Linked DNA regions of Schizosaccharomyces pombe. The protein of the gene in region 1 purifies or fractionates together with the protein of each later gene. This does not show direct contact. Each region holds a gene or a part of one and is shown in the gene's direction. Other genes may lie near its edges.

What was found. Proteins that work in one complex are often made in the same cells at the same time.
Region 2: the proteins of dre4 (region 1) and cwf26 purify together in Schizosaccharomyces pombe (affinity purification with mass spectrometry, with the first as the bait; one large-scale study listed by BioGRID). This does not show direct contact.

Annotation. Positions count from the first base shown.
Region 1 is NC_003424.3:423,167-428,678, forward strand, and holds dre4 (splicing-associated factor Dre4), read left to right. Parts: upstream 1-2,811; 5' UTR 2,812-2,863; coding exon 2,864-2,903; exon of another isoform or gene 2,904-2,939; coding exon 2,940-3,156; exon of another isoform or gene 3,157-3,197; coding exon 3,198-4,176; 3' UTR 4,177-4,249; downstream 4,250-5,512. Other genes in the region: RhoGEF Gef2, read left to right, coding at 33-141, 191-737; pre9 (proteasome core particle subunit alpha 3), read right to left, coding at 1,311-2,057; nuclear membrane protein Tht1, read left to right, coding at 4,417-4,777, 4,820-5,424, 5,487-5,512. UniProt on the Schizosaccharomyces pombe protein: Component of the spliceosome involved in mRNA processing.
Region 2 is NC_003421.2:2,161,703-2,165,961, forward strand, and holds cwf26 (protein Cwf26), read left to right. Parts: upstream 1-1,510; 5' UTR 1,511-1,517; coding exon 1,518-2,416; intron 2,417-2,456; coding exon 2,457-2,463; 3' UTR 2,464-2,803; downstream 2,804-4,259. Other genes in the region: transcription factor TFIIF complex alpha subunit Tfg1, read right to left, coding at 1-661, 703-798, 882-1,421; nuclear pore complex component nup97, read left to right, coding at 3,330-3,523, 3,573-4,259. UniProt on the Schizosaccharomyces pombe protein: Involved in mRNA splicing.

The DNA of each region.
Region 1 (5,512 bases):
TCAAATTTGATTTTTTTTAACTAACATTGAAGATCTATCTTTCAATTCAACTGATGCAGTTTATCATTTGAAAAAAATCTTACAAGACTTACCCGAGAGTAGCCTAAAGATCCTTGAGAACATTTTTTCTATTGCTTCCGAGTAAGTCACCAAGCTTGTTTTTCAGAGGTTTTATTATCTAACGTCGTAGTTTGCTTTTGAGACTTCCTCTTAAAGATCAATGTGATTTTGTTACGAAACAACTAGCAATTGCCTTGGCTCCTTCCATGTTTGGAAGTAATGCTGTAGAACTTGTTTATTACCTTGCATACCACAGTGATCGCATTTTTGGAACAGTAGAGGAATTGCCGACTCCGGTTTCCCCTGCGAATTCCAATAATGATAAACAGTTAGATGAATCGAAATTCCAAGCAATTGCCATGAAAGAAATGCCGGAAAGACACCCTAAGGAAATTTTACCTGGTCAAATAGAACGAGAGGCATACGAGGATTTACGACGCAAATATCATCTGACTCTTGCAAGGTTGGCTCAAATGACTCGATTAAATGAAGATTCTAAAAAGTCTATCCCTCTGTTGTATGATCGCTTCAACCATGATCTTAAGCTTATAAAGCAATCAGTTCAAGCCAGTTTAATTAGAAAACAATGTGAACTAGATACCGCAAAGTGGACTCTTGAAGAGTATGAATCCAAGCTAAACGCTAAGGAAGGTTGTCAAACCAACATATTTATATAGCCAACTAGTCTATACTACATCGATTATTAGATTATTTGTTTTACTATTCCTTTTTTAGATATCAATAGTTATTTTTTTTATCCTTCAATATGTAAGTGAAAGTTAATAATACTCATCAAAAAGTTTTCTCTTATTTTTATAAATAGTATAGAATTGGAATATGCTACACCGTTTAAAATCTTCAGTTATGAAAACTAAGCATATAGTTTAGAACATATGAGAGTCATTGACATTCCATTGGAAATACTATAATTTTAAATATGCCGGAATGGTGTACTCAAGTAGAAATTGACGTTATGAAGGGAATGAGAAAGAAAGGTCTAAGTATAAAAGAAACTTGAAAAAAGCCTTTTTTAAAACGGCATAAGAATTCATAAGATAATGATTTAGCGTAGATAAAAAGAAAGCAAGCCTATATTGAGACGGAATAAGGCTCATGATGGAACTTAGTTTGCTTCAAATTGTTTACAAAAACCATGAGCTAATTACAAGGAGATTAAAGGGTAACGACGAAAGCTATAAAAAACAGCTATACACTTAAAGTGTTTTCCCAATGAATTGAGTAAGGCAATATTAAGATTGCCGCTGGGTCTCTTGGTACTTATTGAGCACTTCATTTATTTCATCTGACTTCCATATTTTGCAAACCATTTTGTTTTTCGTGGTATCCTTTGTTATTGTTGCAAATTCAATTTTTTCATGAGTTAGGGAGTTACTGTCCAACGTTTTACTCAAAAATTTCACGGCCATAGCAGAAGCCTCATCTAAGTTTATATCATCCTTATACTCCTGTCGCATTAAGCTTTGAACACTAGTACTATTTCCTCCGATACTATTTGCTTGCCAGCTTCCGTAATTTCCAGATGGATTAGATTGGAATAGCTGATATCCACGAATATGATCCCATCCAGCATATAAGAATGAAACACCGAATGGACGTAGCCCACCATACTGTGTATAACCTTGTTTGAGGTCACAAACGCGACGAACTAATTGCTCACAAGGCATCTCTTCATTAAAAGTCTGCAAGTATTGTTGCCCAACCCTTCTAGCGTAGTTAATTAGGATGTTTGCATCTGCGGTAAGCCCTGCCACAGCACATAACATATTGTCTCCTATATGATATAACTTTTCTGCGGATTCTTCTTGTTCTAATAGTTTGCTGGTAACCTTCTTTTCAGCAGCTAAAACAATTCCATCTTTAGCTACAATCCCTAAAGCAACGCCAGCATGGTTGATCGCTTCCAATGCATATTCAACCTGGTATAAACGACCTTCAGGTGAAAAAATAGTCGTGCGAGAATCGTAGCTTCTTGACATAATGAATTTGGTTGATGACAAGTTCGAAAATGCGCGAAGCACTAGATCACGAACATTAATGAGGTCTACCGAAGTGCGATTACCACACTTGCTTTATTCTTTATGTGCTTACTACACTACTATAACAGGACTGACTTTTACCTGTCTTCTAATACAATTAATCTATTATGATTTAAATTAGTATGTTGTTAATCCGCTTATTTTTACAAGCTATGCTGTACAACAAATGTCTTTATAAATGAGAGCTATTTTTACGATAATCAATTTACCTTTAGTACTTTCATATCCTCAAGATATAAAGTTATCAGTGTAGGTTGCTAATAATTAAAATCTGCTTGTAAAAATATTTGAACCAGAGGAGTCAATACTAGTGTAAAAATGTAGCTGCTTACAAATACTTCCAGCCTGCCGTTTAACGATTTACCACGAGTTATGAATTGCTCGTAAATTTATGCGGGTTGTTGTAAATTGACAATATTAAAATTGAAGTTCTCGAAAATGTTTTATTATATTGTACTTGGTAGACCATTTCATTAACTTCTTATTTGTTCTAAAGGAAATACTTGGGAAGACGCTACGTGCGGTGCTGTTATGAGGTTTTTGTAGTATATTCAATAATGTTAACTACACCTATGAATTTATGCAATTTATACAGATTTTTTTTAATAGTTTGTAGAAATTTTTTTGTAATTGACATAACTATTCAGCTGGATTTTGCAAAACTGTTCTATCTATTCTCACACACACGCCCACTGAATACTACCTAACATAGTGTCGAACTTAACTTCTTGATTGTACATATCTTAATGTCACAGCCTTTGCCTCCTGGATGGACTGAACATAAAGGTAAATTTAATGAGCAGTTTATTTGCTAACTCATAGCACCCAGTGGGATTCCTTATTACTGGAATGCCGAGTTAAAAAAAAGCACTTACCAGCGCCCAAGTTTCATTGAGAAAAACCATTCATCTTCTGTTACTGCTTCGCAAGCTTCTTTGGCGTTTAACACAAGCGAAAAGCTGTTTGTTAATGAAAATGCTGAAGAGCGCAAAAATTCTCGAGATTTGAGGAAACAATTACCGGACAGACCAAAATTCAAGTATGTGAGGCGTAAAATTTTGTTATTAACTTTTTTTTTAGAAAAAGAATTCCTAATAATGATTCATGGGTGGTTGTTTTTACTAAGAAAAATCGGTATTTCTTTCACAATTTAAAAAGCCATGAATCATATTGGGAACCTCCTTTGGAAATTAGTAAAGACTTGAAGATATTACGTCTTCCGATACGGAAGCAAATCAGTAAAGATTCCTCACAGAGTCAGAACGTTGATAGTGGTAAAACCAACCACGAAGAAATACATGAATCTAGGCATTTACAAACAGAGATTGAAGAGCCCTCTGGTTTAGAAGAATCATCGGAGGAATCCGTTTTATATTCTGAAGAATTTTATGAAAAATCTGATGAAGAAGAGGATGAGGAAAAATCACACTCCGCTGAAGAGTTGGAGTTTGGTGAGGAAGATATTATGTATCAACTTCAACAATTGGATGATGAAACAGTTTCCTATGATATACAGGAACAAGCTACAAATTTATCTACTGATGATGCTAGAAGAGTATTTACTGAACTTTTGAAGGACAAAAACATCGGGGCATACCAACCGTGGGAACTAGTTTATCCAAAGTTATTAGACGATGATCGTTTTTACGTATTAGATTCGGGAGAGAGACGAAAAGAGGTGTTTGAGGAATATTGCAAGTCGGTGGTTTCTACCAAAAAAATTACGCGTAGAAAAAATACCTTATCGGATTTTTGGACTTTGCTTCATTCACTTCCATCTACCTTGCTATGGCCTCAATTTAAACGTAAATATAGAAAGTCGTCGACTCTTCAAATTCCAGGATATTCGGAACGTGATTTTGAGAAACTTTTCCGTGAGTTTCAGATTCTACGAAAACAGCCTATGCAGGACAAACTGTTAAATTTTAAAAAGCTATGCAAGTCAAAAACTGTAGATCCTAAAAACCCCGACGAATTCACAGAAAGCATACTTAATGACACACGATATGCCGTACTGACGCGTGAAGAACTGGATTCCTTGGCTTGTTCAAGTAATTAATGAATTTTTTATTAAATAGGTGCTTAGAGAATTTCTCATTTATTAATTTATTTGGAAAAAAATTATTTTTTTTCGCGTACTCTTTTAAGCAAGTAGTTTGTCGACGGGTGAGTTTCTTTGTTTACCATCTACTACAATTATGAAATTTCATCCGACGCGTCCTTTGGGTTATATTTCGAGTTTTTTATTATTATTTCTTTTTTCTTTACTAGTGAGTCTACCGGAGATGTAGAATCATTTATGAAATATTCGAATGTGGCCTTTTCCGAGGGGTTAGCCGGTTTTGATTCTTTAGCTCACGTATATCAAGCACTCTTGAAAAAATCCACTTGCTATCAGGAAGTTGCTGCAACTTTAATTTCCAAATGTAGCTTATTGAATACTGAGTTGACTATCGATAATCGAATTCACTCAGCCATTCAAATGACTCTTTGCGATTTTGAACGGTCTCAAATTTTGGCTCCTTCAGAATGCGTTCGTGGCTCGCAAAGTGAATGTGTATCGAAGTTGGAGTCAACTTCTACCTGGTGGCTTTCATTCACTAGTCACTTTCATGATGTAAATCACTTATGCCGGTTAGCAAATCTGGAAATGCAAAAAGGTAAACTTTAAATAAACTCTAACAAACTAACAATATAACAAGAATTATCAATCGAGGTGAATATGAATGTAACTCTTGTGCAAAAGCAATTTTTGGAAATGGTAATTTTGCATTTGCGAAACTTTGAGAGCGTGACAGATAAAATGAATCAACGTATTGATAAGTTTGATGGAAAATTTAATTCAGTTATCGAAAATTCTTTCAAAGATATCAACTTTCGTGTCAACCAAGAAATTATGGGCTTAGTCGAATTGCAAAACCATCAACAGGAAGGAATGGTACAACAAAAAGAAATACTAAGTACAATCAAACAACTAAAATCGGAAATATTTGATATAAACTCCTTTTTCGCTAATTTTATTGAAGAAAGTGCTGGTTATTCCAATAGTTTAATTGAAAAATTGAATGAAAAGTTTACCTCAGAAAATGCAATTGCTCTTTCCGCTATCGGCAAATATACCAGTGAGTTCTCTGCTTTTATGGAAAAAAGGATAAAAAATTTAATTACTACAACCGAGGATTCATTACAGCAATCAGTGCAATCCAACATCGATTTTGTTAACTCAGGTTTTCAACCGTTATACGATCTTACAATTCAATTGAAAGAGGAGCTTCAATCATTGAAACGTTTATCCTCTGAGCAACAGGTTAGTTTTACTTAATGGTTTTTATATTCATCGTTATTGCTTTGTCTAACAGTACTGTATAGAATTTGCAACACGAACAGATACTTCA
Region 2 (4,259 bases), on another chromosome or scaffold:
TTATATATCCAGGTTTGTTAATAAGTTGTTCTTGAGGCCTTATTTGAATAGAAGTATTAGGTGATTGTAGTTGCGATGAAGCTTTGACAGGAGATACGCTGCTTGGCGTTCGTTCTAGTGGTCTTGGTGTATTAGTTTTGGAAGCGTTCGCAGAAAATCTAGACTTTAGTTTTTCTTCACGCTTTTGCAATTCTTCTTCTTCTTGCAAAACTTCTTCTTCACTAGACGCATCATGGGAGGAAGCATAAGGGTCCTCATCTTCCTCATCACTCTCATAAGCTAAATTCTTTTCAAGCAATTTTAAGTATCTTTGCAGCTTTTTTCCTTCACGCGACATTTGTCTATCATTCTCCTCTTCAAGGTCGACATCTTGATCAGCTTCACCAAACAAATTGGCAGTTAGCATTTCCTTTTTAATCTTGTCTTTCAACTTCTTATTATCTTCTTCATTTCCTTCCATAATAGGTGCTTCTTCATCGTCAGCGAATTCCTCGTCATAATCTAGTTCATCATCACTTCCACTAGCTCTCGGTCCCGTTACAGGACGTGCATTTGGAACCGTCTTAAGTTTATACATGGGTGAAGCAGAGCCTGCCTCTGCTAAGTTTTCTTCACTCTCCTTTTTCATAAACCAGCGAGGAATCGGAGTTTTTTTATTCATCTAAATGGGTTAGACAAGACCTGATGGAAATAAGGACTGACCTTTGCCTCCGCTTCATCAATTGAAAGCGTTTGGAAATTGTTACGTTGATTAAATCGATAAAATCTATCAGTTGGAATCACCTTAAAACCATTTTCCTATAGAGTAAGCATAAAAAATCTTAAATGATCAAAAGATGAATGATAAACATCCAACATCTTCAAATGGGATAAAAACTTACAGAGAACATGAACAATACATATGCAGACGATTGGCCGCCTTCCATCGTACTAACCCATGTGTTTTTTCCTTCAAAATCTTCCATAATCCAAGGAGATAACTCCTCCTCTTGTAGTCTGCGGGCCTGTGGATCAACTTTGACGACCTGGCGAGTTTTCCTTTTAAAGGCATTCTGCTTCATGTTTTGAGCGCCACCGTAAGGAGCGATTGAAGCGATGTTCACGTTACTGGAGCTTCCTTGTTCTGCATTTTGTTCTCCGTTTGACGAAGATGGAGCATTGGGGTCTCTGCGTTGCATTTTTATGGGTGGCACAAAGGATTTGGAAGGATCAATGGCTTTGTTAGAGTGAAATTTTAATAAATGGTATTTAGTTGTTTTTCTTTCACTCTCTGGACACCATGAAAGCTGGAAATCCAAAAATTTTTGCTGCGATTGTGTCGAAGCATTATTTTGGGAGTCAGGCTCCTCAACTTTGGGTTTCTTCTCATCAGGATTTTCCTGCTTTACATTTTCAAAAACTTTTGTCTCTTGTGAATCCATGTTCTCCGATAAAATATGTCAATACTGATCTTCCGCCGGTGTTGGAAGGTAGCGAGTTAAGAAGCGCTCAGGTAAGAAAATATGCATTCAGCACATATGTCAAACGCCGACTATATTGCTAAAAAGTATTTACGAAAAGATCAAGGGAAAAAGAAAAAGAAGAAAGAGAAGGATTTTGTAGAAATTCAGGATGAAGATGTCGCTGGATGGGACGATGACAATTCATTTTCACTAGTCAACAGAGAACTCACATCTTTGCATGATGCCCCTACAATTGTCGCAAATGAAAGCCTTAAAGATCGAGATATTGATGCTATTTATCAGAATATAGAAAAAACTACTAATAAACCTGCTCAGTTGTGGAAAGCTGTGGGGAATGATGAAGTTGTCGAATCTGAACAACAGGATTCTCATGATGCTGAATCAATTCCTCAGTTCGGTCTGTTAACTGGAAAGCAGGTGACCTTTAAAGCTGAAGAAAGAAGAAAGAGAGAAGAGAAATCATCCAATCTTGATGAGGAAGAGCTTCGCAAAAGTCGCGAAACTGTTTACAGAGATGCCACAGGGAGAAGGATAGATCTGGTTCTTGCAAGAAAAGAAGCCAAAAGAAAATTAAAAGAGAAAGAGGAAGAAGCTAGAAGACAGAAGGAACAACAACAAGGTGTGGTTCAAGTGCGTCAACAGAAAGAATACCTAAAAGAACTTGAAAGGCAAAAAACGGTGCCATTGGCGCGTTATGAGGACGATCCTGAATACAATAAGGAATTGAAAGAAAGGTCTCGTTGGAATGACCCAGCTGCTTCGTTTCTCACTAATAAACCTGTATCATCAAAAGCTACTTATCAAGGATATGCGCCTCCCAATAGGTTTAATATACGACCTGGCCATCGTTGGGATGGAATTATTCGTGGTAATGGATTTGAAAATAAATGGTTTCAGCGCCAAAATGAGAGAAAGGCACAAGAACACGAGGCACATATGTGGGCAATTGAGGAGTAAGTAATCAGTTTTTGAATAAATCTCTAACGAAATCAGCATGTAAATATTTAACGATTTCATTATTTCTTCTGCTGAAAATGGAGGAGACTATTTGGTTTCATGTATATGATATTGTAATGCGAGTTGAACATAATCTCTTCTAGTTTACGAGTGTCAACCGAGGCACAATACTTGATTTTCCAGATTCTGTCCCATTTCCTTTAATTAACTAATGGCTTTGATATTTACCTACAAAAGCAAAACGCTTATAGCAAATAGCTTTATTGGGAAATCGCACACCACGAGACAATGGTAGCCTTATCTATACTAAAATATTTTTTGCTAGTTTATATATATTTATTTTTAAATTTCTGACGATTTCTTAATCCTATATTCAATTATGGGTCATTAAACGTATGAGTATGAGCGACCACGGCTGTTAGTAGTAAGAGGGTTTGAAATATCATCCATTCAGTTATTTCTCTAAATTCTGAACACTTTTTACCAATATTAAATATCATTTCCCTATTGCTGTCCCTAAGGGCCCAAATAATTCACTGCTGATTCTGTGAATTCATATGTATTGGCTTTTAAATGATAGTAAGAGCTAAACGAGAACAATCGATGTTTGAAAATAGTATTTTAAAATTTTTAATTTTATACTTTTTAAGCCCTTTCACATCCACATAGACAGACTTGACTTCACACTTGCTGTATACGTAAAGCAAAGCTTTTTGCATAAGAATTTGTAATTCCAACCGAGTACAAGGATGATTCAAATACTCTTTAACGTTTTACTGTTGACCTGTTTAGTATGAAATATTGTTTTTAACAATTAAGGTTCGGTGAACTCGGTGACTTCAATTTCCTTAGTTCACCGAGACAGATTCTCTCAAACGCATTGTGCTTGTTTACATCTTGACCATCGCCATGACGGTTGCGTCTGACGATTCACCAAAGGAAGCTAGAGGCATACCTTTTTTAGATCAAAAGTCTCGTAAACTTGCTAATGAGTTGTTGGAACCATGTCTTCCGTTTATCCAGTTCAATTTGGGTGAGATTGAACAACGCGCAAAACATTACTTGAACACCGTTCCTACTAGTAAGGATGGTAATACAAAAGCGTAAGTTATTTGTATCCTATTAGATATATTTGTCTAATGAACGATATAGCCATTATTTGCTTGCTGGAAGCGGTATTAATGCCGAACAAACATGGAAGAAAATTGAGTCGCTCTCTCTACAAGTAAGACCTCCCACTACTCTCGAGTTGTCCTTTACCGATGTAGATATGTTTTTGAAGTATCATCGAGAAAAAAATGTTTTAAATTCTTTGGAAGCATTGGTACAAAACACCCAAATAGCGTTCGATCAATATTTGGAAGAGGAATGGCGTTCCAAAGCTGCAAAAAGCAGACCCTCCTTTGATAATATTTTACTTGAAAATAAAAAGAGAGTATCCTTTTATCCTTTCTCGGTGCAACGTTCGCAGAAGTTTGCTTCCACTTTAAAAATGTGTCTTGAGGAGGAAGCACTGCACGGATTTCAATCAAAGCTTGTCAGTTCTTTTTGTGAGGTTGCAAGAGAATTTGCTCATGATACAAAGTCTCTTCTCCTTTACGAATCCTGGAAGTTACTTTCCTCTGTTATATTGGATAAGGATTCTGTGACAGTGTTTGGCAATAAAGGCATAATCTCAAAAGCCTTTGACATTGAGACTGAGGATGGCTCGGTTAACTCTCGGTTCTATCAAAGGATTTCTGACTGTTCCCGTAAGTTCCTTGAAGCTCAATTTTTTGAAGTTTTGAATAAGGAAATTGCAAAAACCCCCCAGGCTGCTTTGGTAGGCGGTGTTCCTTC